Linked DNA regions of Struthio camelus. The protein of the gene in region 3 purifies or fractionates together with the protein of the main gene of each other region. This does not show direct contact. Links are inferred from orthologs where the notes say so. Each region holds a gene or a part of one and is shown on either strand. Other genes may lie near its edges. The genes, in order: HECW2, ZMYM2 and ARRDC1.

What was found.
Region 1: the proteins of ARRDC1 (region 3) and HECW2 purify together in Homo sapiens (affinity purification with mass spectrometry; 3 studies listed by BioGRID and IntAct, counting the BioPlex papers as one, with this or other methods). This does not show direct contact. The link is inferred for Struthio camelus from reciprocal best matches to the Homo sapiens genes ARRDC1 and HECW2.
Region 2: the proteins of ARRDC1 (region 3) and ZMYM2 purify together in Homo sapiens (affinity purification with mass spectrometry; 3 studies listed by BioGRID and IntAct, counting the BioPlex papers as one, with this or other methods). This does not show direct contact. The link is inferred for Struthio camelus from reciprocal best matches to the Homo sapiens genes ARRDC1 and ZMYM2.

Annotation. Positions count from the first base shown.
Region 1 is NC_090947.1:12,095,672-12,105,948, reverse strand, and holds the start of HECW2 (E3 ubiquitin-protein ligase HECW2), read right to left. Parts: upstream 5,989-10,277; 5' UTR 5,945-5,988; intron 5,535-5,944; coding exon of another isoform or gene 5,415-5,534; intron 4,356-5,414; coding exon of another isoform or gene 4,269-4,355; intron 3,915-4,268; coding exon of another isoform or gene 3,753-3,914; intron 3,671-3,752; coding exon of another isoform or gene 3,602-3,670; intron 3,015-3,601; coding exon of another isoform or gene 2,820-3,014; intron 2,248-2,819; coding exon of another isoform or gene 2,121-2,247; intron 1,424-2,120; coding exon of another isoform or gene 1,254-1,423; intron 537-1,253; coding exon of another isoform or gene 443-536; intron 31-442; coding exon of another isoform or gene 1-30. Other genes in the region: CCDC150 (coiled-coil domain-containing protein 150), read left to right, coding at 1-30, 443-536, 1,254-1,423, 2,121-2,247, 2,820-3,014, 3,602-3,670, 3,753-3,914, 4,269-4,355 and 2 more. UniProt on the Homo sapiens protein: E3 ubiquitin-protein ligase that mediates ubiquitination of TP73. Acts to stabilize TP73 and enhance activation of transcription by TP73. Involved in the regulation of mitotic metaphase/anaphase transition.
Region 2 is NC_090942.1:204,116,873-204,127,012, reverse strand, and holds the start of ZMYM2 (zinc finger MYM-type protein 2), read left to right. Parts: upstream 1-5,217; 5' UTR 5,218-5,373; exon of another isoform or gene 5,374-5,615; intron 5,616-5,849; exon of another isoform or gene 5,850-6,235; intron 6,236-6,420; 5' UTR 6,421-6,478; intron 6,479-10,140. UniProt on the Homo sapiens protein: Involved in the negative regulation of transcription.
Region 3 is NC_090961.1:11,557,310-11,567,302, forward strand, and holds the start of ARRDC1 (arrestin domain-containing protein 1), read right to left. Parts: upstream 4,964-9,993; 5' UTR 4,883-4,963; coding exon 4,765-4,882; intron 1-4,764. UniProt on the Homo sapiens protein: Functions as an adapter recruiting ubiquitin-protein ligases to their specific substrates. Through an ubiquitination-dependent mechanism plays for instance a role in the incorporation of SLC11A2 into extracellular vesicles.

The DNA.
Region 1 (10,277 bases), on a different chromosome or scaffold from region 3:
CACCGAAATCAGCAGTCTCAGAAAAGACAGGTAAGTAAAGCTGATAATTCTTTCTGTGGTATAATTAGTGTGATGAAGACAGGCAGATACAGTTGAGAAGTGGCATCTCTTCCACAGCGCTGTCCAGTAAACTCTTTAGGACAAGGTTGTTTGAAAAATTCCTATATCCTTTCCTGCAACATTGAAACATATTTAGTACCAGTGAACCAAGCGTACCAAATGCTCATGGCTAGCTCTGCGAAAAACTGTGCTTGTAACTATTCTGCTTGGTCAGGTCTCATGCATCTTGCGGGAAGCAGGTGAGAATAAACTTAATTTTAATGCCAGTGACAGGCAAAACTTAACATGGTGAAAGCAGAGAACCTAACTGAGATTGCCACCACGTCAGAGGAGAGGTGCACAGAGACGATACATTGTTTGTTTGCCCTATTTCCATTTTCAGGAGCCAGAGTCAACAGAAAATACAGAGGTTAGAAACAGAATTGGAACATTGCCAAGCCAGAGCGGTTGCCATGGGAAGCCAGCACAGCAGCCAGGTAGAGGCCATGATTTGCCATAGAAATAGGCAGGACTGCGTCTTCAGGGTTGAGTCAATTGCCCTCCCCCCACTTTTTGGGGGGGAAGGGGGGGGAAACAGTGTGGTGTGATACATTCACGTGAATGGAGGCAAAATATTCTATCAGCTTTAGGCTGCGGAGCAGGAAAACCATTTTCCAGGTTTTGAAGGAAGTAATTAAAGATCAAGATAAAGAACAAGTACAAATCTTTCTAAAGTAAGACTCCTTGGCACAGATAAAGGTTTTACTGTCTGCAGCTGGATAGGGACAGAGATTTCTGAAATGTATGTAGCTTTAAAAATTAAAAAAAAAAAAAAAAAAAGAGAGAGAAAGAGAGAGGGGGGGAAAAGGAGGGTGGGGGAAAGGGCCAGAGAGTTGCTTTCTTCCTCCCTCCTTTAAAATACATAGTTTAAAAATCAATGTCTCACAACCTAAACACACTCACTATTGGCAAGGGGCATTTTTTCCAAGACAGTCATGTTTTTCATTCTGATCCTCCTGACTAAGCCAGTCTGTGGATTGGCTTTGTAGGGAATCACATCTAGATGCCTGTGCTTGAAAGGATGTTTGTCATCAGGCAGTGGGTGAACAGACTCATACTCCCAGTAAGCTGACACCAACTGGGAAGGGAACAATGTTCCTGTTTATGCTTTTTCGTTTGAGTAAGCCTAAATCTGATCTCTTGTTACTGCCCAGGTGGAACCACTTTGTAAAGCACTAGAAGTTACTAGAACAGACAACAAGAAACTTGCTCTTCGTTTGGAACAAGCTCTGCAGGCCAACAATACCTTGCAGAACAAGCTGATTCAGAGTCAGTATGACCTGAAAAGCAAAGAAGCTGAGCATCAACAGCTGGTAGTCTGCAGGTAAGAACAGATCCAAGATATTAAAGCTGAGGAGAAACATAACTTTTCACTAACATCAGAGCTTTATGCCTTTTGTCATCTATCAGTATCAGCACTGACCACATGCTGAACCAGCAGCATGGTAAAGATAGACTTACGCAGAGCTACATGAATGAGCTGATTTGCCCATTCGTATAATGGCTTCTTCAGCCTCCTCTGCCTTCCTCCTCTGAGGAACTGCTTGCCTAGGGTCATTATAGCACTTTTTCAGCAGACATAGCAGGTATCACTTGCACTTTGAAGTGACCTACAAGCGACCCACACAGAGGACAGCTGTTTAAATCCTCCACCCCAAACTAAACCCCAATAAATAAGATTTAAAAGTAGTTAACAGTAAGTGTTGGTGCACTGTGAATCACCTCAATATCCTTGGTCTAAAGAGGCTTGGCCACCTACTTCTCTGAAGGAAAGTAAGTAGACCTAAAGTTCAAAAAAAAAAAAAACCCATCTTTTTTTCCTTGTACAGTTGTTTGGAACCTCCTTGCAAACAGAGCAGAGATGAAGTATATATACATTTACAAAATCAAATCCTTAAGCATTAGTGTTGCTAAGAGTATACCCAAGACAAAAGAAATATTTATAATGGAATTTTCTGTTCAAAAAATAAAGCATATTAAATGTATATGTGAATGACCAATTTTGCTTCTTCCCTTAAAAGGAAACAGCTAATGGAAGAAGCCCAGACTGAGGAAAAGATGTATGCCGAACGCTTAGAGGCTTTGAAGAAGCAGTTTCACATTGAGCAACAGGCTTCTAGAAAAGCTGCCCAGCGGGAATCTGCTGAGGTGAAAAAAGGATAGAATTAAAAGATTTCAGTGAGTGGTTTCCAGAGAAAGAGCTCCGCTTTACAATGTCAAGTTTTCAAACTGCAAAAAAGCAATTCATGACAAATAGTTGTCTCTTTTCCCATCATCATGGAGTTGTCCATCACCTGTTTGCACCAAATAGAATTTTGTTTTGTGGTAGACAGGTTTTGGTGACTGTACATTGCAAGTACCACTGTATACCCCATCATACATAAGACTTAGGCATTGATATCAGTCATTCCAATGAATTCAAAAGGAAAATCTGACATTATATGGAAACCTCCAGGGAGGAAATACTGTTGTGAAAGGGCAGAAATAGTCTTTGCTTTTTGGGGGCTGGAGCATAAAGCTCAGCTTGACCTTAACATTACTCAGACCCAGCATTCACCTTTCATTCCTTTATTACAAAGATATTTTAAAAAATTGGATCACCAGGTGCTATAGCATACTCCAGACACAGGGAATCGTTGGGGCATTCTCCCTATTAATGGTTGTAGGAAATGAACTGATCTTCACAATTGATGTGAACTCACTTTTTCTCTGTCCCCTAGCTCAAAAAGGCCCTTGAAGAAGCATCCTCCAAACTGGGTGAAGTTTCACGTGCTAACAGGGAGCTACGGCAGAGAGTAACAGAGCTGGAGAAGTCTTTGGCTAGCTACAAGGAAAAGCTGAAAAGCCAGAGAGCTCAAGTCAGACATTGCCTGGCCTCTAAAGCTAGCAACGCTCAGAACACAGAGAGGATAAAGGTGCGTGCATGTTTTTCAGTGGAGACAGACATCCTACCTGAGAACTCCTTTTCCTCCTACTAAGTAGGACTACTGTTGTCCCTTTGTAGCAGAGCTAGGCTGGACAATAAACAAAACTAACTCTGAACTCAGATGCCTAACAGAAGACCAATAGCAGCTATAGCTGCTATTGCATGGCCTTTCCTGCGTTTTCTTCCTACATTAAATAGGATGCCAGAGTCCCATCTCCTCCCTGTATTTTCCTATTAGCCTTTTGTCCACTTAAGCAGACTGTATCCACAAAATGATAAAGCAGTGATCGGTGCCAAAGGTTACTTTGTGCAGCGGTTAGTCCCTTTCCATCCTTCATACCGATGGACCATATGGTAGCACTGGTACCCGATCCCAAATGGGAATCCAGGGTCCTTTGCAACTCTGCTGCCTGCTTGTTCCCTTTTCCCCACTGGGGCCTGGCTTCTCCTAACTTCAGTCTTGCAGGATAGGAAATAAGGAGACAGTGGGCGAACGCTGCCTGTTACATGGCACCTATTACTGCAGAGGAGCCTGAGAAATTCCTGAAGTTTTGTTTTTCTTTCAAAATTTTCCAGGAGATTGAATCTGAATTGAGGGAAATGGAAGCAATAAAAGAGCAGTATCAGAAGAAGAATTATGAACAGGTGTGTTCTCTTGACTAGCTTCCTAAAAAGGCTGATCTGATGAAAACAGGTTGTTGAAATTTCATTCTTGTGTTGTTACCAGTCACAGAATATCCAGAAATTTGTGAAAGAGTTAACAAGTTTGCAGACTGAGATGCAAGAGTTGTTGAAAAACCAACATGAAGTACAAACACAGAACAGGCAGCTAGAGACCCAGCTGGAAGTGGAGAGAAGGCAAGGGCAGCAGCTGGAAAACAAGTGTCAGGTAAGATGATCACACTATGAAAGCGTGGTGAGAAACCAGTGGAACCATTTTATACAACATCTGTAGGGTTCTAGAAGGGATGGTACAAAGACTTCATGAATCTCATGTCAAAAGATACTCCTACAAATCTTACTGTATCTGCCCCAGAAAGCCCAAGGAGCAACTTATCTTGCGTTCAGTATGGATTAACACTATATATCTGACATATGAAAAATTACTTCTACAGTCTTTGTCAATAAAACTCTTAAGCATTTTACAGTTAAAAATGGAAGAGTCATTCTGTTAATATTGCCAATTTTTGTCTTTGTGCCATGAAAAAAAAAATTGAGAAATGACTATTCTTTTTCTGCCTAGAGATTGGAAGAAACAGTCAAACAGCTGAAGAAGTGTAAAGAAGAAACAGAACAGAAACTGAAGGAAGCCAGGATAGAATCAGAACAGGTGAGACTATTTAGCCTGAGAATTATAATTCATTGGCAGTAACAAAATACCATTTCAAGGTATGCATTGTGTGAACCTTTGAATCTCATTCTCTGGTGAAGAGTGAGGTGCATCCTTGATCTTTTCAGCTCAAAAGTAACAAACTGGTTTTTAGCATTCTTCATTTTTTTCAGTTAAATTTCAATCTCTTGCATGAGATATTTTAACTTATTGGAGTTTGTAAGAAAGCTTTTCTCCCCACAGCTTACTGTTTTTGTCAGGATCAATAGATTTCTATCTTAACAGAAAAAAAAAAAAAAAAACACACACCCCACTTAGTTGTGGCCAAGTAATTTCCCCCCAAACCGCTATTACATTGCTCTTTATTCGACATCGATCCAAACCACATTTCCCACCCCCCCTGCCCCGAGAGGTCACATTTGTCCATGCTGCACCTCATCCTTGCACTATTGTACAGTAATATCCAAATAAACGTAATTGACATGTATCACTATAGTAGTCTGGTATGAGAATCTACTTTTTGAGATATTTTTAATAGGGTGTTAACCAGCATAAAGTAAAGAAATAAATAACAGAGGTGCCCCAGCTTGAGGTCTTACATTGCTACTTATCCGTTCAAGTACTTGATCATTTATTAGAAAAAGACCTTAATAGCAAGAAAGTAACATATACGTATTTCTACAGCATGTCAGTCTTCAAGCAAAGTTATTAGTCTTCCCACATCTTTCTTAGGAGTTTGTGGTATTCAGCCTCCATTTTTCCCTCTACTCCCCAATGCCTCTGTGTTTTGGGCTGTGTCGAGAGAGAACTCTGTGGACTACTGCCAATAATATTTTCATAAGAAACAATTTTGTAGCATGTGCCCAGCTGTTACCACCTCTCCACAGCAATGCAGAGGGAGAGAACTCTTGAGTTCCTGCCCCCACGTACAGGAGAGAATTCGAGGAGACTTTGGCGTACTCTTTTTTTTTTCCCCCTTCCAGCACAGGGCCCAAAAGCTGGAACTCGGCCCACATTAACCACTTGCTCTGCAGCTCTAATTACCACTGCCTTCCCTAGATCACAGTTAACCTGGAGGAAGCTCACCGCTGGTTCAAGTCTAAGTTTGACAGCCTGCAGCCAGAACTTATAAAAAACCACCAGGCAAAGGACACGGAAGAGAGTGGCTCTAGAAGGGAGGTAAAGAAAGCAAGCACATCCTCTTTAAAAGGGGAGAAAAACAAATAAGCTGGGGCAAGCACTGGGAAGTCAGGAATTCAGCTTGTTAAACTTCTTTCACAACTCCTTACACAGTGGGAAAGAGGGACCCCTGTTCCTTTTTCAGTTTAATTTGTTTTCTCATCTTTTGCCAAGGTACTTATTTAACCAGCAAAGAACACTATGGGTACAAGATAGCTTCAAGGGACTGTTTCTATACTTAGCTAAGTTCTATTGCACATTTCATGTTTTGCTGAAAGTCATAACCCAAATACTGGTATGAAAGCTAATAGCTGGCCTGTTTTCTTCCCTGCATTCACCTCCTCTGTTTCAGTGTTTATCCTCCCCCTCCTCCAAACTCTTACAGGTATTCTTTTAAAAGCTATGCTTACCTTGTTTGCGTAGATTCCACAGCCTTTCCCATAACTGGCAGTTCTCACGTAGCTTTCTGATCAGCCTTTCAGAGAGAGATGTATATATTAAGCTGCTAAAACTTTAATCTCTTCTTTGATAGTCACAAAGATTCTCCAAGCAGTAGATCAACTCCATGAAATACTGTATCTTTTCACAGGAGAAAAAGCAACCAGAGCTCCCTGCCCAACCCTTCCTGGGTGGCCAGGCAAGGACCCAGCCCCTCCAGCTCACCGCCAGGAAGGCCCGGGTGACCTGGGCAGGAAGTGAGCTCACCTGACAGGTGATTCCTGGCCCAGGGCTACCTGGGGGTGCCACAGCAGCAGCAGCAGCAGCAGCACAGGGAGAGCATCACCTACTGCCAGAGACTCCCTGCTAGCACCCAGGTGTTGGGAGTGTCCTCAGCCACAGGGAGCTGCATGCTGATGGAGAAGACTTTTTAACGGGGTATGAAACAGGGGCCTTACTCAAACTGTGATAGATCTCTATCACTAAGAAGACCTTGCAAATAAAAGGTGTAGTGACCAGCTGGCTGACAGGACACTGTGTGTAGGGGACCTAGCAATGCTGATTTATATTGTGTGCTCTGATTTGAATTAATTCTTCCCTCTCACCTGTCCGACATTGCAGGGATCTCTGTGTGTGTGAGATAAGCTTTCTAATAGGATTGTCTTTTGCAACTAGCATACTTTGTATCATGAAGCTGATATTAACAAAGCCACTATTTATAGCAAAGAAATTATTCTTCTGTATGTATCATTCCTATAGACTATACGCTGCTGACTGCTAAGTCTTTGTGTTCATCACTTTTCTTTTAGCAGCTTTAGAATGAGCCTTGGCAGGTGCTATCAAAACAGATCTCGGACTGGTTTGCAGAGGATTCAGGTGAATTACTGAAGGCAGAGTCATACGCCTGTGGCTGGATGCTGACGTGATCAGGACAGGGAAGACCTGGCAGGACTGGCTGCTTCTAATGATAGCTGATGTCTGGGTCATGAGAAAACACAGGCCTCAGGCTAATTTTAGGAGCATATAAGGAATTCATTAGGTTTGTGACACTGTACCACACATCCTGTTATCTACATAAGACTCATAAGAATTAGTGGAATTTATTCAGTTTATCCCACTGTGGAATATAACTCTGGGGAAGGCGTCATTGCAGCAGATGGCTTAGGTCATAGTAAGTTGAAGGTGATGATTGATTATAACACAAACAGTTTTCATTCTTGTTCTACTACCAATCAGCTCAGCGTCTTCATGGCTTGCTTTTCCTTCTGGAGCTTCCAAAACAACTTTGCTTCAGTACAGGTGTTGCTGCATTGCATTCTGGTTTGTTTTACAGTGCTATTTGCCGACTCCTCTGTGAGCCATGATACCATTTATTGCTGGGGAAACTATATATGTTGTTTAGAATGTTTGTGTAGTGGGGAGGGAAGGCTCGCTTAGCTCTGGAGCCTGAAACGCACTGAATTAAGTCATTCCAGTCCTCCAGAAATGTGGTCCTAAACTGTATGACAGTAGTCTGGACTAACTTTTAGAGACGTGACCCTCTCCTTCTTGAAGGAAACGGACATGCTAATGAACAAGGGCCTACTAAACAGACTTAAGGCTAACACACATCTTTCATTTACCTGCTCATCATTGAATTGTTGTTGCTGCTTAAAAAACAGGCTGATGTAATGTGACTGTAGGTTAGTCCTAGTGGAGCCAGCTCCTTCAGAGATAAACCGGCCTGTGTGCAGCAACTGCTCCTTAAATCTGATTTGGCTTAACTTAATCTGTGCATCTTTAACTCCATAGTGCCCTCAGGCAACGAGCAGTCCAAACTGTAATCTAGCTTTGCGTGTATTAACTCAGACTGCAGAGCAGTCAGCCACAGCTGGAAAAAACTCTTCTAGAATAGAAGCGTTAACACTTTTTTTTTTTTTAAATGAATGAATCTCATGAATTAATATTTATTGAATGCTTAAGTAGGTTGCCTAGTAGGACAAACCACTACGATGGTTGCCTACGCAGGAGGACAAGACACTGCAATGATACTTGTCTGAACTGCACGTTGCCAGGGAGCCAGCACCAGCCACCCCTCTCTCTGGCTTCCCTTGGCAGGAGCTGTTACCAGCATACCACATACATGTATGTGTGTGTATATATATATATATATATGTGTGTGTGTGTGTGTGTGTGTGTACGTAGATATATTGGGATGGGTCTTGACTCCTCCCTTGGTCTAGAATGATGAATGCTGGTGGAAGGGCAGCGTAGCTACAGGTACTTTGTATATTTAAATACAAAGTCTGATTATGTGTCTGTGGTTAACCTTGTTTTTATATTTGCGTAGGTAGAGACATTCTCCTCCACATGCAATATATCCTGTTGCTTCTTTTTTTAAACGTATTTGTTTGGGGTTTAGGGTGGGAAAAGATACAGCGTAATTAATTGTAACCTATTACTGCATGACAGTACCTCCTCGTTTTAGCGCTGCACTAAGCTTTTGGCTATGTCTGCATCAGCAAGTAATGCAGCACACTGAGTCACGTGTAGACTGAAACAGCTGGTCCACCTGTGCTACATGTTTTGGATTGGTTTTTACTTCGGATATACACTAATCTCAGCTTGCCTACTGAATGCTCACTAGCGACCATAGCACTTCTGGAAGCTGTCTTCCAGTTTGGTTTCGTCTGAAAGGAAACTAGTTTGTGTGCTCAGAGCCTGCTCTGTAACGTGAGCCACAGCAGGGTGAGTGGCAGCAGGCTGGAAACTTCAGAAATGCATGTCTGATATCAGCTAAAATACTACGGTAGGTGCTTCCGCTATAGTCTGTCCTGTTGCAGTAAATTATACTACACGGTAACAAAGGAGTCTGGAAGCTCCAGGATTTAGTGTTTCTATTGGGGGATGCCCAGTTCTAAAGGAAGACCGTCACCGCCTACAGAAAAATACATTTGCTCGGTAGACTCTCACAAAACTTGATTATAGCCCACTTACTTATGGGTACCGTCAAATTACAGGAGTGACAGCTGGGGGGAGGGAGGGCGTCACTCAGTGGTCTTCAACTCTGACCTTGCAGTAAGAAGAAAAACTTTTGAGTTATCTTTGTACGAAGATGACCATAACTAGCCCAATTATAGAATTATACTGATTAGGACTAGGACTTGTGTGGAACAGTATGAATTAGAAGCCCATATTCGTTTGAAAGCCCCAAAGCAAGCCCTTTCTTTCCAAAAACTTTGAGGGTGAGGGAACACTGTATAAAACTCATTCAAAAGATCAAAAGTACAACACAAATAGACAAGCTCATGTTATTCTTTAAACATTGTAATTTGAAAAAGGTTGCACTGGTTTATCACTTTGCTGCCATCTGCAGGATCAATGGTTGAGACTCATCTACACTGCTAGTGGTTCCCCAGCAAATCCTTAGTAGTTGCAACGCCTCTTGTTAGGCACACGTTCTATTATAGTAACATTTAGTGTATTAAAAAAAGCAAACTTTCTATGCAGTATGATTTTGTTTGGTTAATGTCAGTCTGTTGCCTTCAGTGCACGTGGGTGGAGACCAACTTTCTACAGTTGTCAATGCTGGTATCAGGTAAGCACAATTAAAAATCCATGATTCCGGTTTTAAGACAACTAATATACTTTTGTGAGCACTCTTTGATATGCTTTAATGTAAAAATATTTCCTTGGCTATAAATAGCTAATAAAATTATCATGATTCAAAAAGTAATTTGACAATATACACATAGTAGCTGGCTGACAATGTTATTAATTCCATTAATATAGTCTCCTATTGCTACGAGATTAGATGATAGGTAAGGGTGGCATCAATTTAAGTATTCCCATTTTACTCTCGGTGGTTTGTGAAAGCTCTGCCAGAATTAGATTTCAAGCCTTTCCTGCCCTGCTATCTGTTCCCATGTGCGGTTGGTTACAACTCAACTCTGGTTTCTGAGACAGAGGCTTGAGAAAGGTGCTGCGTTCACTCTTCTCTCTCCCTCCCCCCCCCCCCGTTACATTCCCACGAGCATCATTAAACAAGCTACAACCAGGTAAGCTTGACTGTGAATACAGAGCATGCCATAATAAATCGCACACAGAGGCACATGACCCAAGAAACATTTGTACTGTGAACTCTGTCCTGTGTATCCTCCAGCCTCTGCATGAAGTAAAACAATGAAATGGGCATTGCATGATGACAAAGTTTTAGGCTATAACTTGTTTGAAAAAGCATTCCAAATTAAAGGTATGGATAAATTCTGTAGTAGTATTGCAAGTAAGTTTTTTTTTTTTTTTTTTTTTTTAAACTTACCAGATTCT
Region 2 (10,140 bases), on a different chromosome or scaffold from region 3:
CCTAAGATTGTGGTATTTCCTGGAGATACAGAAATATTAATGTACTATACAATGTTCTGCTTTGATTTAAAACTGAATATTATAGGCATTTGAACCCATATTCGAGAGATGAACTCAGACTGGGAGAAATGGAGATAAAGACTAGCAGAATGATCAGAACAAAACTTCTAAATCTCCAGGGCAAATTGGAAGAGAATGATCAGGGGAATGAAGATTTGTTGTGCAAGAAGAGACTAAAAGATCCTTGTTTAGTATAGCAAAAGGAAGGCTGAAAGGGAATATGACTACCGGCTATAAATATATCGGGGGTAAACACCAGGGAGGGAGAAGAGCTGTTTAAGCCAAAGAACAAATACTAGTACACAAACAAAAGGGTTCTTGAAAAAATGTAGTCTAGAAATGAGAAGAAGGTTTCTAACCACCAGAACAGTGAAGTTCTGGAACAGATTTGCAACAGGAGTAGGGAGTAAACATATCAAACTACCATTAAGATGGAGCTTGAAAAGTTTCTAGAAGGGATTATATGACATAGTTTCCTGTAATAGCAAGGAACTGGACGCTGACCTAGGAAGTCTCTTCCAATCTTAAGGTCCTCTATTCCGTTTTGCACTGTCATTTCTTCTCCATAAAGACAGGAAATTTATACCACTAAATCCCTCAAATGTTTAAAAAATAATAATAAATTCTATACAAGTAAAAATAATTGTGATTATTGTAAAACTCACTAAAAGTGATTTAAGAATAACACTTTATTGGATAAGTATTATAATCTTAGACTTTACTGTGTTAGAACGTCTTCTAAGGAGAGGTTGCCTGGTGTAGAGCACTACTTGTTCTTACTTTTTCAAAATCGAAATATGGAATGTGGCATAAAGGTCATTTCAAGGCATATTATACTATGCAATGAACAGTAATCTTATACTACCCATTGTACAGTGTATATAGTCTCATTATTTCAGCCTTGGAAAGATCACTTTTGGTTAAATAAGATAGCTGCAAATTAAACAGCTGCATGCAATTTATTTTTAGATACATATTGATTTGTTTATAAATATTATGAAAAGTAGATGTAGCTCAAAAACCATAATGAAAACCACAGGTAATGTTTTGCAGAAAGCAATTTTTTTCAATTCTGTATAGTATGGGGTCTGTTACGTACTATACAAACATATACGCGCGTATGGTCCCTTTTCCTTGAGAGCTCTAGTTTAAAGAACAGCTGAAATGCCTAATGAAATTCAACAATGAGAAAACCAAGAGAGGGAATATTATAGAATAAAACAAACTGATGAGGGTGTTACTGACCACAGGTGTTTAAAATCCTAAGGTTCTATTTTCATGTTTTTTCCTTCCACTACTATTTCTTGAAGTTGTGTTGGGAAACCAAGTAGCAGACCAGAAGTCCATTATGCCATGTCCATACAAATATGACAAAGAGACAGTCGTACATGTTCCACAGACAAATAAACTTTTTCCATATCTTCCTTCTCCCTAACGGAGAACAAAAATGTCAAGGAGGATCGAGGCTACATTGAGGCAGACAAATGAGGTAAAGGATAGCAAAAGAAAGAGAAACGTTGGCAGAAATTGAAGAGGAAAACATAGGGAAAAGAAAGAGGATAAATAAAACTGTATAAGGCAGAGAGAAAAAGGATTGTGGAGAAGGACAGGACAGAAGTCAGCAATGACATAATAGACAGAAATTTGGGGGTCACATATTTTACAAAGGATTAGACTCTCTTTTCACTTCCACATGTGGTAGAAACAGACATTTTGATAAACATATGTTTTATTCGCATGCCAAACATAAATTTTTCCAAGCCAGCCTTCAAATCAGTTGTAATAAATGGTGTTTTTTTAAAGAGTGTCATGAAGCACTACTTTCCAAATGTCACATATATAAAGTACTGAAAGACATCTTGTTCAAGAATTTCCTCCTCATTCTTCAGAAGTCACAGCTCTAGACACTGCAAAAGATTCTACTTTCAGTTATACTGACAGAAACCTAACCAGTGTTCAGGCTGAGAAAAAGAGTTCTTCAGTAAATGGAATATGCTTACTTCTAAGTCTGGAACAAATTCCACTACTCTTTGTCACAGATAAATATCGATGATAGCAGGAGGTATCTTTAAGTTATGAACATTCCAATCCTACAATTTACTATGCGTCATTCTAAGGCTGGTTTGGTGGTGTCCTCAAGATCCTTGCTAAAACATAAATTCTCTAAAATTTATCAAATATCAAATTACTCCTTCTCTTTTCAAATTCTGTTGACTGCTTTTGGACACAATTTTACTCCATAACACATAGAAAGGTGTCACTCTTCATGTACATCTTTGATCATTCTGTTGGTTCAGCTTTATTGAATTTATCTACTGCCAGGCAGTAAGTTAGAACTCGCATAGTGAAGTTGCTGACATCAGGCCTGTCTATGAAAGTAGTGGTGTGGAGATTATAAATACATCAGTTTCAGGCCTGTGGAGTTCATGAAGAGGATTTCACTACTTCATGTTTAGGCTAATGTTAGCTCTTTCAAACCATGAAACAGAATTATCGATCGATTTGGATCATTTAAAAAAAAAATCAAATTTTACAGATGAAGAAGAACTTACTATTTCCCTCACTTTCTACTGCTGACAGTTGAAAAGTTAATTGAAAAATATGTGGTGTAATCCATTATTTTTGTCTGTGCTTGAATATATGAATTCAAGAATAGGGTTATGCGTCTATAGACGGACTAGAGTTAACTAGGATTACAGCATTTCATATAAAACTACATTTCAGTATAGTTCCAACATTGCAAGGTAAGCATTAACACATCTGTTCAAACTATACGTTCTAAAATGTGAATGAAAAAGAGTCTACGTTGCTATTTAACAGTCCTGCGTAGCAGTTAGGTAATGTCTATTGCTAGGGCAGTGGTAAAAGCAAGGTGCTCCGTGGTTTTTGGTTTTTTTTTGAATGACTAAGTAAGAATTATAGGTTTCACCAACATGCTCTAATTCAGACAAGCAGTCATTTTCTACAATCCACTTCTGTTAATCAAAGCTCTCAAAACCAGCTGCTTAAGTCTTCTTGAATTTTCTGCTGAACTTCACCGGAACTTAAATGTTTACCTATAAGCACTATTCAAGAACAAAGATATTTTCCTGAGACATGTTAACTGGAAAGGTAGAAAAATATGTAGAATGTGGAGGATGACCTAAAATCGCCTTGACGTTTATCAACCTGGAAGACATTCAAGCTAATAAAGGAAATGGTCAAGAACCAGCTGACCTGATAGAATATATAATATTTAATGTTGTAATTTGCACAGTTGTCTGCTTACCATCAATTTAGTTAGCAGGACACTGTTATATTGTAGAACAAAACTTATAAATCTCTAGGGCAAATTGGAAGAGACCTTCAAAATGGGTTAGGATTACTTTCATTAACATTTTCTTCCTTTGTAAGCGTTGTGGTAGAGCTGTTCCACCACCACCTCGCTGCTTTCTCTCAGGCATGAGCAACGGCCGCACGAGCACTGCTCCATACGCTGCCACAGCCACGAGGTAACTCTGTCCCCCCAACACCGCTAAGCTTCCTCACGCAGCTAGGAGGGTGTGAAAAAAATCATAAAGTCCCATCAACAACATCCAGTAATAGCATGTGGCAGAAGTGTTTGTCTTGAGCTGTTGACTGAAGTCTGTGTCTCAGGGTGGGGCTGTGAGGAAGCAATGAGATGTATTGTTGTGACAATAGAAGATACAAAATTTCTGGTGTCTCCCACACATGAAAACTGCCAACCAAACTCATCAAGGGTGGTAGAGGAAGAAGCCAGCCCTTCAGTGAGTTCTGCTCCGACTCAGAGCAATGCCCCCCCGCAGATTACCCCGGCTGATCCCACGGGGGTGGCCAGCACTGTGTGGGAGGCTCCCAGCAGCGGCATGGAAATGGCGCCAGCGGCTTGGACCCTGCTCCTTACACATGCAAAAGGCGCTCTCCAGGGGACACCGCACCGCGTGGTTGACATGAATTGGTACCGGCTAGAGAAGACAGGGCGGTACTTGCTCTCTCTTTCTCCCTCTTCTGGGCAGAGGAGGGTGAATAAATGGGGCAGAGCGGCTTTAGCTAGCAAGAGGGCAGGCTGAGCTTCCTAGGTCCTCGAGGAAGCAGGCGTGAGTGCCATGGCCAGAGCGAGGGGACGCAGCCGCGCAAGGCGAGTGCGCATCCTCCATTTTGGTGGAGGGCGGGCGCAGAGCTTGGCTCCCGGCGCCTCGCTCCCCTCGCCGCTCGGAGCACTCCTCCCCAGCCCGCGGCACTGCCAGGGGCGCCCTGCTCCTCTTCCCGCAGGGAGCGGGGCAGAGGCGCCTCAAATGGACGCCCTGCTGCGCCTCACGTTGGTTTGAATTGGTCCCAAGCTCCCCGCAGCGGCTTCCGACAAAATGGAGGACGTCACCACTGCTACCACCACCACCACCAGCAGCTCCTCCAGGAGCCATGTCGGCGGCTGACATGGCTCCCTTCCCCCACAGTGGGTGGGGGCAGGAGGGCGTCCAGAGCGAGGGCGGCGAGGAGGCTCTCCTCAGAGGGGCAGGCTGTAGGTGTGTGGGGGAAGCTCTCTCCCTGGGATACGTGCGCTCTCTCGCTTTCCTGTGTGGGAGTGCTGCCATTATTCACACTCTGTCCCTCATGGAAATGGCCCCAGGTTCACAGCCCTGCTGGGGGAGGAGTGGGGCGGGACCTTCAGAGAGCTATGGATGGGTCCTCCCAGCCCTACTTCTCGGCGATGGGGCGGCGGGGGGAGGCAAGAGGGAGAGATCAGCCCATGCCCCACGGCTGGGGCTGTTGTGTCCATAGGGACTAAGCGCAAGGCTGGGATGGGTAGTACAATCTCCTCCCCGGCAGATGGCTGGAGGAGCATAGCTAGGCTAGCACGGCAGCAGTGCAAACTTCTGCAAGTTGCTGCCGTCAAGCAGCTGTACTGGGCGCCCGAGCGCAGCCTCGCAGCCCTTAGACCCGGCTACAGAGCTGGTGGGCAACGATTCGGGTTTCTCAAACCTGATGGATCAAAGTGGTAAGAACTCCAGGCATGGCTAGGAGGAAGATTGACAGTTTATAGGGTCAACCGGCTGCGGGCAGCTCCGATGGATGGGCAGCCCACCCAATGAGCTAGCCGAGCGCGAAAGCCCGCCCTCTGGAGGAGCCAATGGTGGGGCAGGGAGGCGGATCTTCCCCAAGCTCGGTTGGCCCTGTTCCTCCTCCCCCTTCGCTAGCAGCTGCGCTTAGCCTGGGACTGGACCGAGTTAGAGTTGAGGCACTGGAGGAGTAACGCGGAGTCCGTGCGTCCCCCGCGGGGGGGGGGTTCCGTGCCGGAGAGCGGCGGGGAGCCGGGTAAGGTGGGGGTGCGGGGTGCTTGCGCCCTCGGGGGCGGGCTGGCGGGCGGCTAGCTGGAGGCGCAGAGCTGCCCCCGGGGCGGGGATGGGAGAGCAGCCGCCGTGCCTCAGAGCTACCCGGGCTAAGTACCCCGCTGTGTCGTCGCTGCCGCGCCGCCACCTCTGGCGGTGGCGACGGCGGCGCAGGGGGCGTCGGGCAACACCGGGGCCAGCCCCGCGGATAATCATCCCAGCCCGGAGGTGGGCGGCGGGGGTAAATCGGGGGCGTTCGGGGGCAGTGCTGAGGGGGGGCTGGGGCATTTGGGGGGAGGGCCGGGTCTGTTTTAGCGCCTCCTATTTTAACTCCCTGCCTCCTTTCCCCGCCGGGCCCGCGGCTGTTGTTCTGCCCCGGTGCCTTTCTCCCCCTTCCACCCACCTCCCTCGCCGCCCCCCGCTCCCCCCCCCCCCTGCGCGGGTGCCTCCCTCCCCTCCCCTGCCCGGCGCTGCGCTCCGCGGATCCTGCTGCCGGCGCTGCTCCCCTCCCGTATTGTTTGGCTGGGTCTCTCTCTAATGGCGGACAGGAGGCGGCAGTGCTGCTGGCCGACTGCAGGGGGGCAAACCCGAGACCAGGGGCAACTGCTGTGGGCGCGTGCGGGAGGCCGAGGCGGCCGCCGGGCGCCGCGGCGGCGCCGCTGAGGGGTCCGGGCCCCCCGCGCTCCCCGGGGCGCCGGTTCAGGGCTGCTTTCGGCAAGTTAGCAGATAATATTTCCTCCCCGCCCTGGGAGCCACCGCTGCCTTCGCAGCTGCGCCCCGGGCGGCTCCGGGTAACCGCTCCTTGGAGCGGGTAAGCTTGAGGAGTACCCCGCAACCCACCCGGGAGGGTAATTTATTTCTTATTTTGTATTTATTATTCGTTTGTTTGTTTGTTTGTTTTGTTAAGGCTTAGGATTAAAGGGAAGTGGTGGGTGATGCAGGCGGTACCTGCCCTGGCCAGGCGAAGGGAATCCTGCTTGGGGGCGCTGCTGGCTCCTCGGTGCCCCGTGTAACCCCCATGTCTTTCCCTTAGGCTCCAGCCCAGTTTGGTGCAGCCTTGGCAGAGACCAACAAGGAGAGGGAGCTCTATTGTGAGTGCTATTTATGTGTCTGTTCCTGCCTCAACTAGACCTGCTCAGGGATGGCTTGACACCCCCACGCTCCTTAGTCTTCGGGGGCTGGGGTAAAAGGAGGGGCCTCCAAGGCTGGGTGGGGAAATTCCTGGGTCCAGCAGCTGCCGCCCTGGGGCGAAGCCCCAGTAATGGCTGTGAGGCGGCTCCTCCTCGGGGTGGGCGCTGCTGCTGCAGACATCGCTCCTGCAATACCAACTCCGGCAAGCAGACGACGGGCTGCTGCTGCTGCTCACGTTACCCGGCTCAGGAGGGAGGGGGAGGGCATATTTCGGGTGCCCTCTAGAGTTCTAGAGCGTACATTAAAATCCATAACGAGACGGCTTTAGCCATCTTTATTTTTTTTCCCTCTTTCTCCAATTTTGTATTCCATGTATGTTGAAGCTAAGAAGGGGAATGGGAGGTTTAAAATAGCCCAGCAATTTGTGGAGCGTACTCTGGCCTTTGTGCACTTGGACCAGTTCTTTATAATTGTGGGTTTGCTTGGGCGATTTTGTTGGGTGCCTTTGCCTTTCTGTGTGCCTTGGCAGTACTTCCGAGGCATCTGCTTTGCCCCTTCCTCAAAACGCTGGAGGTCACTAGGGAAACCCACAGCTTTTTAGTAGCGATCCTTTTCGGTTTTTCATCTCTATGGGTTTTTCAAAGCAGATTGTGTTCTCTGTTGGGCTTTAGGTCAGCTAATTTCCAGTCTCTCTGTATAGGACTGGAGAGTAATTTGATGCTGGGTTGTGCCCCTTTAATAATGTTCTTTGCTGCACATAGTGGAAAACAAGGATTCCAAAATTAAGAAGTAGCGCAGTGAAGGTGAAAGTAACACGGTGTGTATAGACGTTTTAGGAGCTCGTCAGTTTGGATGTGATTGTTGTCTGCAAGCTCTCGTCACTAGAGGCCGCTGAAAAAAGCTTAGATAGCCCTGAGAGATCTGGTTAATAAACGTGCAGCACACAGAACAAAACAAAAAAGGAACGCGTACTTTGCACTCTAGGTTCTTGACTTGGGTAGAGGAATTGAGGTTTTTGTAATTTTCTCAACCACTTGCATCTTGAAATTGTTCTCCCCCCACCAACGTTCCACATAATAGATTTTCCAAACTTACATAGCTTGCAACTTTTGCTGCTTTTTGGTGGCTTACATATATACAGAATAAGTTATTCTCTGCATAACACCACTGCTTAGGAGGAGAGGCATGAGATTTGTATTCTAAACTTCTAAAATTACATGCCTTTCATGAGGTTGATAGAATTTGTATAGCTTGTTGTCATTAATAAAATGATCTGTTCTAATCTTTGACTTACTACTATATTTTTTAAAAATTTGATTGTAACTTCTTATATTTTATTGTGTCTTGGATGTAAGGCTACCAACTAATTTTACTTCTGGCTCATTATACATTCTAGCCTAACAGCTGTTCTCTCTTTTTTTTTTTTTTTTTTTAAACAGTAAGAAGTATCATTAAAAAAAAAAGTTATTTCTCTAGTAGCAGTGACCAAGGCAAATAACACTTTGGAAAGAGGAAGGTTGCTGTGATGGAAAGGAGTGAGAAAAGATCTCACTCTGTTGTGTGCTGATGTGAAAAAATTATTGCAACTCTGTGTGGCTGCTTATGAGAAGTTGAGAATATCACCAAGGGCAGCTGTATGGCTAAGATTTAGTAAACCTAGTTGAGTAGTTGCCAACTGGTTTGTGAACTATACATGTTTTTTGTACATCATCCTCCACCAACTGTGGTGGTAGTAGTCATACAGCCTTCCTTTCCACATGTGGCTTGAGGGAAAAAGTGTATCCTATGACACATGATAGGCTGCACAGTTCCATGAGGGAATGTGTGCCTACTGCTGCATGGTCATCTCTAGGAACCAAACTTCTCAGTTCTGATGATTCGTGAAATAAAGGTGATGATGGAACATTATATTTGGAGCAAATCAGTTTTCTTTTTATAAAAGACGGTCTTAAAGTATCTGCTAACTTTGATTTACATTATTGATAGTAATCCTCTTTCACTCCAGCTACCTGATTGCGTTTTACTGTTGCTTTGGAATAATATGCTAAGAGAGATTTGCATCAACTAGAACGTATAAATGCTAGTGAAAAAATGAAAGTGGGTTGCTCTGTCTTCTGCAGAGCTTGTGCAAGTGTGTGGAGGGCTATGGGACCAAAAGTGATGTAACTCGCTTCAGATTTCTGTTGGCTTTCTTTCCTTATCTCTTATTTTTTGTCTAGTACTGTCATGAACAGTCTCACATTGTTACAGTCACTTTCATTTTGGTTTCAAGCATTAAATAGAGAATTATTGAAGTTCCATCTGCGTGTGTGGCAGTTGGCAACCAATTAATATACTCGGCAACAAGAGCAGAATGAAAAGTTTTGTGAAGATGTTATATAAGGTATTATTACTAATGGAAAATCCGCTGTTCATGGAGAACAGTTATTTTGTTCCAAAAGAACCGTACATCACAAATAGCAATGAACTGCGCCTACCTGTGAAAGAGGATTAAGATTTGAAATTCAGAAGACTTGAAAAGACTGGACTAGTAAGCTGCCCCTTTTGAACAGTTTGAGATAATGTTTGCTGCATGATGCCCTTAAAACCCTGTATGCAGTACAGATTTTGTTGCCTACTAAAATTCAAGTTAGTTTAGTTGGTTTATCTCAAGAATTGAAAGCTTTTTTTTTTTTTGAACTTCTTCTAACATTAAGCTTAATTTTGTGCTTTTTGTGATGTAGTCCTGGTAGGCGTATGCTCCAGGAAGATATCTGGGTTTCTGAGGGATTAGATTTTGGAGAAAACTTATCTTCTCTTCCATGCTTGTAGTCTCTCTTACATGTTACTGAGAAATATTGCTGGCAGTAGAAGTTACCTTGGTATATGAATGATCTGCTGAGTTTAGATCATAGTATCAAAATTCTTCATTTTGGACCAAAATTTGTGGGTTTTGTCAGAGTCTGTTGTATTTCTGAGAGAAATCTTAAAAGGGAGTAGTGTGAGACTCTAGGAATACAGTGGTATGTTCTCTTCAGAGAACTATAGACATATGTAGACTATATAGATTTAAACACAACTTCCGTGGCCTTTATTAGATTTTTGGCAGTTTAAAGCTGCCAGAAACAATAAACTTTCAAGGCAAAACATTATTAACCCATGAAATTCTGTGCCACTAGAATTTAATGGGATTCACAAAAAATTGTACACCTGTAACTGGGGATGTTCTCATCCATACGTTAGATGGGATCAACTAAAATTAAACATTTCTGGTGTGCTTCGAGGCTTAAGCCAATCATTGACTGTCCGTTATAGCCTTGTTAGATCATAATTGTCCACTGAGTGCTCCATGGATTAGACATGTTGTGATTACTGTAGTTTACTTATTCCAGTATGCTCTCGGGACAAAGTTATTTCAATTAATGTTTATAATACAGACAATGAATTCAAATTTTACTAATCCAACATACAGAAAATGAAAAAAGATTTTTCAGTCTGTGGTCAAATGAGAGTCTGTGTAGTGGCATGATTGCTGCCCATGAATTTCTGAAATTCTTCTGTGATTGAAGGTTATTTACTCTATGTATGTTTGCTCTAACGCTTAAACGCTCTGTTTCTCCTTTTTGTGGTCCCTAGCTGTTTT
Region 3 (9,993 bases):
GTCCTGGCACCCGCCGCAACTAGAGGATGCCAGGCAGCTCGAGGACCGCGCCGGGCCCCGCCGGTACCACCGGCGACAGCCACAGCTTGTGGCTCCTTCCCTACCTACCAAACCCACCGCACTCGTGCCCAGTTCTGCACTTCAAGCAGTCATGCTCCATCAGCAGAGTGAATCCTGAGGCAGAGACGAGCCACGGGATCCCCCGCTGTCCGGGTGATTTATAGATGCGATGAGACGAGGTGACCTATGCCGTCAAGCACAGAAATTTAAAATCCACCCTTACAGAAGACACATTTCAGTCTCAGGAGAGAGCACGCTTCACATTACTAACTGGGGACTGAATCCATCCTTTAAACATGACTTTGCTGAGCAGATCAAGCCACAACCTTCTTGCTGGAACAAATTTTCCTCCATTTCAGGAGTCAAATTGTACGAAGGATCCTGGCAAATGGACAGAGCCCACAGGTGTTTCCTCCTTCCCCTAGGAAGGGTACAGGTTACACACACAGCAGAACCACCTTAACCAAATCCAAACTTGTTCCCTCTGCCATCCTAGGGAAGCAGAACTGACCTTCTGGTTTGGGCACATCACTTAGGATTCCAGTGAGCTGCTCTCAACCCTCCATTACCAGCTTTCTCCACTCTCCATAACAGAAATGGGAATACTTACTACATTTGGAGAAAGAAAGAGAGAGGCATAGACTATCTGCTCAGAAGAAATGGGAATTATGTACCTGGACACTTCTAGAGTACAAACAGTACTTCCATTTGGAGCTTTGCAGTTCAAGGGACTGATTTTAAAGTCTAGTCATCACCGCATAAACCTGGACAGCTAAATAACAGAGTGGAGAACGACACAGTGCTGAAATCTGCTTTGGAAAGTGCTTGCAGTTTCTTTACTCTGAGCGACCTGGGAGAGAAGACTGTTATTTTAACACTACACGTCTGCCCACAGGAAGCCTAGCTGAATGGGAGGCAGCAGGACTGAAGTGATCTGCATTGCTCCCGCAAGCTTTCGAGTCCAGAGGAAAGCACTCCGGCTTAGGCGAGCGGCGCGAGCCTTTGTTCCAGCACGCCTTTGTAGCGCGCTCCTGCCAGCGACCGAGGCTGGCTTCCACGTTCTGAACTAACTTCTCCTCCCTCCCCCCAGATTAACGCCATATCCAGCTGGCCCAGCGCCAGCTTCCTGTTAGATTAATTATTCTTTGTACACACGTGTTTGATGATTTACCCAGTAAGTCAGGCACAACAATTAGGAGCTCTGCATTTCCATTAGCGTTCTCCCCCGAGGCCTCAAAGTTTGCGGAGAAGGACCTTCATCCTGGCACAGGCGCGGGGAGGAACGCACCTCCTCTCACATGGCTCAGGAAGGTCTGTATGGTTTACGAAAGGTGAGTCATCATTTATGACGCCGCTGCATGGTCAGCCAAGGACTATATGTTACCAAACAGCCATTATTGCTAGTTGGCAGGGCCGGCAAGGAAGCTAAGGTAGATGAGAGCATTTATGATCCCAAAAGGCATGTCTCGAGTTATGTTTTTCTATGACCTGAGATTTCTAGCACGTTTAGCAATACAGAATGAACCTTGTTTGCCTCTATTGTTCACCTCGTGATAGGTGCAGTTTCTGAGAGCCATAAAGCAAGTCACCCTGTGAAGTAATCTACAGCCTCATTTGCATTTGTGCTAGATTTTGGATCTCAAGAATCACAATAGTGAGACAAGCAACCACACCAGACTGGTCCAGTTTGGGAACTACTTTGGTGCTGTGCGCCAGACCTGTCATAGGGTAAGTATTTCCGGTCTCTTCCTTTAAGATATTTATTAGTCTGAGAAGTCATAGCTGGTCACAGAAGGGGTAGTACTCAAGCCGACGCAGCTTCGAGGCCTCCAACCCAGCTCTCCCCTCGCCCCAGAAGAAAGCTACAGCATGATAAAGGATGCCTGATCCCTCGCTGCTGGACCTGTGAAGTTGAATAGGGCTGACTACTGCTAGGTCCTCAAAGGAGCCCAGTCTTAAGACCTCTTTGCAGCAGGTAGTTGCCTGCTGTCACACAAAGAAGGATGTTTCAGCAGATATATGAGCTTCCTCCTCTTTTTTGTGAAGGAGGGACATTTCCTTTAGCCGGACAGAAGGAAAGGGTGCCCACCTGAGAGAGATCCCCAGCCCTACTGCTGAGGGTTGGCGAGACACCAGCGGCCGTAAGACATGACGCAGCATGAAGGACACATAGCAAAGAGTCACCTTGTGGTAACAATGTCCGTAAAAAACACACCTTGAAGAACACTGCTTATTTGGGCAGAGTCAGGCACCCGTTGTGGCAAGCTAGCACCATCCATAACTTTCTCCTAAGTCCCCTTCTATCCCTGCTGGCAAAGCCAATTTGCAGGGACCTCAGCCCAAAGTAGCAAGCTCACATCACCTCTGCACAGAAGGAGAAGGAACAGCCGCACACAGCCCACCTCAGATTTGCCTAGATGCTGCTGCCAGCCCCAGGACCTCAGCCAGCTTTCCTAAAGCCCTGCTCAACTGCCCCAGCTTGTTACCGAAATTACTGCATTAGTATTATACACAAAGATCCAATAGCAAAACCTCTCCTGGCTCGAGAACCAATTCTTATGCCAGACCTTAAAGTTTCCCAGAGTCAAAGCAATAAGGAACATCTTCAGAACGAAGGTCCAGACAAAGACACTCTCCTCCTTCCCCTGCAGCACACCGGGAGGCAAAAGAGGAAAACCCGGCACGTAAGAGAACCTGAGAGCCCACGGGCTCCCCAGAGGCACCAGCAAGGTGTCACCAGAGCTAGCCCCAACCAGCTGGCAACGTGAGGGACTAGCACAACTGAGCCTTGCAAGGCCAAACACTTCCCTCTCGCCCAAGAGACCCCTTCAGGAATAGAGGTGGAGGGGACAGGCTAAGACAAAGGAGGATGGCAGTCAGCAAGCACTTTGTCTAAGAGGTTTTTTGCTGGAAAAAATACTGCTGTTAAGTATCCTCCAAGGAGATAAATGCTCTGGATATGCAACTGCTTTGCCGCAACAGGAGTTAAACAGCCTACAAGTCTGCACTTGTTCTAGATATTTTTGTTCCTGAGGAAGCTTCCAAAAGCTACTGCAGAAAACTGGGAGAGGTGTTCACAAAAGCAAGAACATCCCAGCCCCAGCTGCCACAGGCACCATCATCCAGGCCAATGTCTGTGTTCAAGAGACTTTGCATTTTAAGTTCTATGGCCGTTTTTCCCCCAATAATTGGTTACAGAGGACAAAGTGTTCGTATAGGAGAAGCAAGGAGATAACCTCAGTGAAACCAAGAAATAAGTCCACATTTCCACAGCGCTGAGCACAAAACGAACCTGTAAGCGTGAAAGCCTTCTCTAGGGTGGGGGAAGCTAGGACGCACAGGAGTGACAACCTAACTAGCTGGCTCATCTGAGAGCTCATGGCGGAGCAGAGGGAATTTAGAGCCTGCAATGCCCGGTGGCCCACCCGATCATCCTCCTCTTCCCAGTATGGATCTTAAACAAGCAGCCGCCCTCCCCTGAGGCCATCCTCGTTCATTCACGCTGCCATCTCCTGACAGACTGCAACAGCCACCAACAGGGCCTGCATCTCCCACCGAACCACAGCAGCCCACATACTCCAGATACCGCTTGGGCCACGGACGCAGCTGAAAGAGCAGCAGTACGAAGGTTTTATGCCTGCTCGGAGCCACTTGTGCTACAAACCCTCTCAACACTGATGGGGGCTGCGTGCTCAGACTAGAGATCTCCCACTTAACCAGTAGTTTCACAACTCAAAACATTCAAGGTCCTTTAAGACGTTACGCAACTGCTGCTAGCGATAGATGCTAGCGAGCTGCGCTTGCTGACGGACAGGTGTCCCCTCTGCGTGGGGGCTCTTTCTGCACCAGGGGCAGCGGCCAGCTTGGCCACCACGTCGCATACTTCCTCCGAGCCTCCTCGGCGCTCCCTTCCCAAAAATCCCTGGCAGCAGCCTGAGGAGCGACGGGCCCCGAGCCTCCCCGCAGCTTTAGTCAGCCGCCGTCCAGGATCTTTATAAAAATACACGTTTCGGCACTGCGGCAGACCCGGGCGCACAAGGGCCCTTTGTCAAGGAGCTGCCACGGCCCAGGGACAACTCGCGGAGAGGCTCGAGGCGGCGAGGGGGGCCACGCCGCGCCGCCGCGCTCCGGTCCGTGCCCGGCAGCTACGCAGCTCGTCGCCTCCCTTGACCATCCCGCTCGAGACCGGCACGCAAGTCGGGTTTGGACGCTTCTGCGAAACAAGTCTGTGCTGTCTGGCTTCACGGGGAAGGGGTGCGGGGGGGGAACAGGAAGCAGAGGAAGAAATAATCCGGCAGGTTGCTCACAGCACCTGCACGTCTCTCCGCTGCCTCTCCTCTCCCGCGACCTCGCGAGGGGCAGAAGGGGAAGCGGGGCCGGGCCCGCAGCCCACCCGGCGCAGGGCGGCGAGCCCCAGGCCCGCCCCCGGCAGGGCAGCGGGCCCCGCTCCGGCCGCCCCGCCGCCCGGGGCTCAGGCCTGCCGGCGCCTCCGCCCCCCTCGGGCGAGCCGGGCTCGGGCCAGACCTCGGCTGCCGGCCGCAGGGCACACGTCGGGGGGCGAAGGGGGGGGGGGACCCGCTTCCGCGGCCGCCCGCGGAGGGGCGCGCAGGCAGCCAGCGCCAGCCCCCGGGGGGGCGAGGGGGAAAGGGGCCGGCAGCCCCCCCCAACCCCCCCTCACCCCGGGGAGGGACGCGGCGAGCTCACCTCGGTACTGCAGCGAGCCGGAGAGGCGCACGGTGACGGTGCCGGCCAGCGGCTCGCCGGGGCTGTAGACGACCCGGCTCTCGCTCAGACGGATCTCGAAGAGCTGCACCTTCCCCATGGCCGCGCCGCGCTGCACCGCGCCGTCCGCCTGCCCGGGCCCCCCGCGCACGCAGCGCTACCTGCTGCCGCCCCCGCCCCCGCCGCTCCGGCCCCGCCCCCCGCCGGCCCCGCCCCGCCCCGCGGCCCCGCCCCCCCCAGCCCCCCCGCTCTGCGGAGCCCAGCGGCCCCCCCGGCTCCTTCCCCCGCTGCAGGGCTGGGGCAGCCCCGCGGGGGGGGGGGGGCGAGCAACAGGCTTCCCTCCAGCCTTTCTGCGCCCCCTCCTTTTGCACTGCCACGTGATGCGGCGATAAGAAAGCCTGCCCAACGCCGCTTCGCCCTTCTTTTATTTTTACAAGCGAGCACGGGCCGTGGCACCGGGGAAAGGCACCTCCCGGCTGGCGACAAGCAGCCCGCGTACACGGGCACAATGAGGGCTGCTGAGGCGGCCGCGCGGGGACGCCAGCCCCCCGGGAGCAGGGGCCGCAGGGATCGCCGGCGTCGCAAGCCGAAACCCCTCGTGAGAGACCCAAGCTCCGTGTGAAGAGTAGCTTGCGCGTTCCCGGCCCAGAGCGGCTCCCGCGAGCGGGCTCCGCCAGGGCTCCAGCGTTCAGAAACCGACCTCTAATTTCCGGTCCAAGTGTAGTCACAGCTAACCAACACCCCTACGTTTTTGTACCAACACTTGCATTTCAAGCAGCTCATCTTGCCCAGCAGGCGAGACATCCTCGGATCCACCTACACACCACTCTCCTTGTCCTGACCCTGGCTTTTGTTTTGGCAGGCTGCGCAAGCCACATTCGTCTAATCTGTTTGTGATATGGGCCTACAGCCCCTTTCCTCCGTCTCTCCGGCCCAGCCCCCCTTCAGCTTCTCCGGCCTGGCGTTGCCAGCAAAAAGCAAGAGGGGAGCAAGAGCCCCCTGTGACCACGGCAGGTTGCCCCATCTCTGCTTCCCCCCCAGAAAGTGGCTCCGGACCCACAGTTCTTCCCACTGACCGGCCGTCCGATGGGAGCTGCTGCACCCACGGGTCCTCTCTGCCCCATCGCTGGAGCAGCGCGGACTAACCGGCACTTGCACCACGGGGCACGGGAGCAGTGCCACCGAGCGCCCACATGTGACAACTCGGGGGTCATGAAATCCTTTGCCAAAGCTGAGCCCCTCACACCGCACTGCAGCTCTCCTCAAGCAGAAAGGTTTCTGCTCCTTACTGGCGGAAAAGTAGGCTTAAACGTGGTGAAGTTGCTCACCCAAGGTCATAGCATGAATAAAAGGGATTCCTAAGCCAGGAGCTGAACAAAGGCATCCTGCTGCTGGCCGCTGGTATGTGCTCTCAGTGGCACAGCCTCAGTGCTGCAAGACAAGCAGTGGATGCCTTTCTACGGAAATAGAAGAGCTGTTTTCGTGACATAGCCAGCAGCAACGCCACAGCGCTGATCCGCTCCTTACACCACTGCTACGCTGTGCTCTGCACTTCATAGGATATAAATAGGTGGGCATAATTCAATCTGTTTGATCCCTGCAATGCCAGTGCACCTACCTGTACATATCTTGGCAGTGGGCTGTTGAGGAAGGTTTTACTCATCATAGTCAAACGGTGATTTACGTTCCTACCTCCCTGCTCATCTGTACGCGCCCTGGAATCACCCCTGTTATCTAACGGCACACAGAATCATGGGCACCGAGATTCAGAGTGGGTGGGGGAAAAAAGCGAAGGATAAGGTAAGCCGTCAAAGAGTCACTTTTCTGCTATTTTGAATCGGCATTTCATTAAAAAAATTGTTTTGGATGTTTTGTTCTGATGGTGGGAGCTTTCACTTCCTCAGTCTCTTCTCCCTTCCTGTTTTTCCTCATTAAGGAAAGGGAAATTTAAAAAGAAAAAATAAAACTTGACCCCAGTTTGAGAACAAAATTTTCCTTTGGGATGTCAAACTTCACTAACTTTAAGGAACAGGATTTTTTTTTTTCCTCCAAAGAAAGCACTTGTTATAGAAACACCGTTTAAAAAACCCCACTGGCACCTGAGCCGTGCTGCCCTCACAGCACAAGACCAGCTTCTACAGCAGGCGCTGGGGAACAGCTGTGGGTATTCCCCGACTTGGGCAAAACACACCAAGGGATCAAGCTGCAACTGCAAAGTCTTGTGCTATTTTGTGTGTGTGAGCAGCACACGAGGCAGAAGGCTCCCTGGTTGTCAGGCATTTTCCTGTGACTTGAATTTGTTCCTCTTTTGGGCTTCCAGATGTTGTCCTCCAGCTGCGCCCTGAGACACGGACAAGGCACAGACCCACCTGACTGTGCCTCAGTTTCCCCTGGCGGCGACGATCTCCACCTGGCAGGGGCTGAACCCTGCGAGGAACCCAGGAGTCCTCGGGGAGCGGCTCGGGGAAATGCCTGTGCCAACGAAGCAGCGACTGCTAGGCAGCTCGATTACGTGAGCACTTCTGGGTGAGGCAGCAGCATGTTATCTCCGGGGCAATTGGCAGGATCGTTTCCACTTGCTCCCTAGCTTCAGGGGTATGTGGGTGTTGGGGAGACAGCAGTCTTCACAGGATACTGCCCTGCACCCCAGGTACACTCTTGGCCTCTCATGCTTCCTAGTCCCTCTGTTACAATGTGGTGATGGAGCGAAGCTCCCACTACACCAGGCCCTGGAGGCCCTGGGACTGAGGAGGAGAGGTAATAGCAGAGGCAAAACCCAGAAAGTTAAAATGACTTTGGCCCTTAAATATCTTAAGCTTCCCTCAAATTAAAATACACACATCCAAAGAGAGCCCGGGAGGGGCTCACTGCTGATATATTTATACTATGTAGCACTAGTAACACATAGCTACATTTTCTATCCATACATATGTATGGATGGATGGATATAAACTAGGTAATACCGAGACCATACTTAGGTTTATAACCTTTTGTGTATCACTTGACTTGCTTGGCTCAGTACCTCACCACTTCTCAGTGGATTTCCCCCACCAGTTGACCATACCGTCTGATAATAGCAGCAATAGATATGACTCATTTGTACAGGGCTGGCACCTTTGATCAGGACCAGGGTTCACGTGGCACTTGCTCTGCTGAGCTGTCCTCCACACCCCTCACTCTCCTCCGGCAGGAGGTCACAGCCAAGGTCCCCCATCCACTCTATGGGCCCCCAAGGCAGCTTGCAGACAGCTTGTCCAAGGATACTTGGTGGCATTCAAACTACGCCTTACACCAGTGGTGTTCAAAGCTCTGGGGTCTCCATGTCCCTGAGCTCTGCGTTTGCTGAGCTGCGTTTGCATCTTCCTCATGTGCCCAGGGAGAGCATCAGGGCTCGTGGGCAGACTCAGGTGCCCAACAGCAGCACTGCAGAGCCACTTCTGTGGTTGAAGACAAAAGAGAGCATTAAGTGATCAGAAACAGTCACCTGCATGCTGGAGTAGGGGGGCACCGGCTCTCAGACTATGCACAGACACTGTCCCAGGCCACAGCTTCAGGTGCTGTCCCTCTGCCACCATGTGGATGCTTCAGGACTCTGTATCCCAAGACAGTGTCCCAGGTCTCATTCAAGGGTTTTAAAAAAACCATCTAAGGTGCTTGCATGATAGCGTAATAAACACCATCTATTTAACCTTATCCTGTGTGGTTGACTGAAGTATAATTTGGCCGAGGTATCTCTACCGGGGAGATAAGAGACAAGGCTGCCCTTTACCAAGGGGGAAAATTTTTATAAATATAGATATATGTATATATATACATATAAATATCTACAGTGTCCCTCGGCAGTTTGTTTCAATGGCACATCCTTTTCACCACTAACATGCACGCCTGCTTTTTAGTCCAACTTTGTCAAATTTCAGTTTCAGCCACTGGTTTTTGTTATTGCCTTTCTGACATTAAAGAGCCCTTTAGCACCAAGCAATTTCTCCTCGTGACAGTACTTACACACCGAAATGAAGACACCTCTCAATTTTCTTGATAAACTAAACAATTTGAGCTCTTCAAGTCTCTCCCCATGAAGCATTTTATCCAGCCTTCGTGTTATTATGCTGCCTTGTATCTATCCAAGCCCACATACTGGCATTTGTGTGTTTATGGAAATGTGTGCAGGAACAGCCTCCTACGCGTGGGCACGTGCACATACAGGAGATGATGCACTAGCCGTTACGACCCCAAACGCACACACAGAGCTAAGTGCGGGCCCCGTAGCACACACGCATCGGGTGCGGTGACAGCAAAGCATTCCCACTGTAAACTCACCGCTTTCTGTTAGCTAGGGAAGAGATGAACACCCACAGGTAACACACCAGCTGCTCCTGACCTGCTTCTTCCCGCTCAGATGAACCCTCGCCCCTGTGGGAAGAGGGCGACTTCAGGGACACCCCTCCCAAGCCAGTTCCTCCCTTGTAATTTTATCCCCGAGCAGAATCAGCCCACGGAAAGCAAGCCCCCAGCTGAACTGCTGCAATCCCATTCCACCGTTGGCACCCGTCCCACTTACGGGGGTGCTGCTGCTTTAATTGGATAATGCCCATACTGCACCTGGCCATCCTCACTGGAAAATCCTTAGAGAGAGGCAAGGCACTAATTACTATTATCATCACTCTAATCTAGCTGGCTGGATTCCTGACCTCTGCCTTCACTGCAAGACTCTTGCTCAGGGTGAGACTGGAGAGGAAGAACTGCTGGTGGGAAATCTGTCCTCCCTTTCCCATGAAGTTCAGCATCTCAGCGCCGGCAGAGGGACGGCAGTTTATTTGTGTTCGCCCACGGGCTCTGGGAGCAGGATGATTTACTCGCTCTCTCGGTGATTCCAGAGAGGCCTTGCCCGAAAAAGGGCCAAATTAAAAAGAAGGAAAAAAGGGCTGGACTCCAGCTCCCCCAGCACCACTGCAGCATTTTGCACTGCTCCCTCACTGTAAAGCTACTTTTACTCTGAGCTCAGGGTCCCCACGATCCTAGGGAAAGGCAGCAGATGCTGTTTAACAGGCATGAGCAGGCTGAGGTGAAGGCTTGGGGGAGCCTACAGGGCTTCTGTGGGGAAATGCAGTGCAGCATGAGCAGGGTAGCTCCATACCTGCATGTTCATGTTGAGCAGAGCCCTCATGTCTCATTTTCCCTCACTGCCCTAATCCTTCTCTTTCCTTTTCCCCA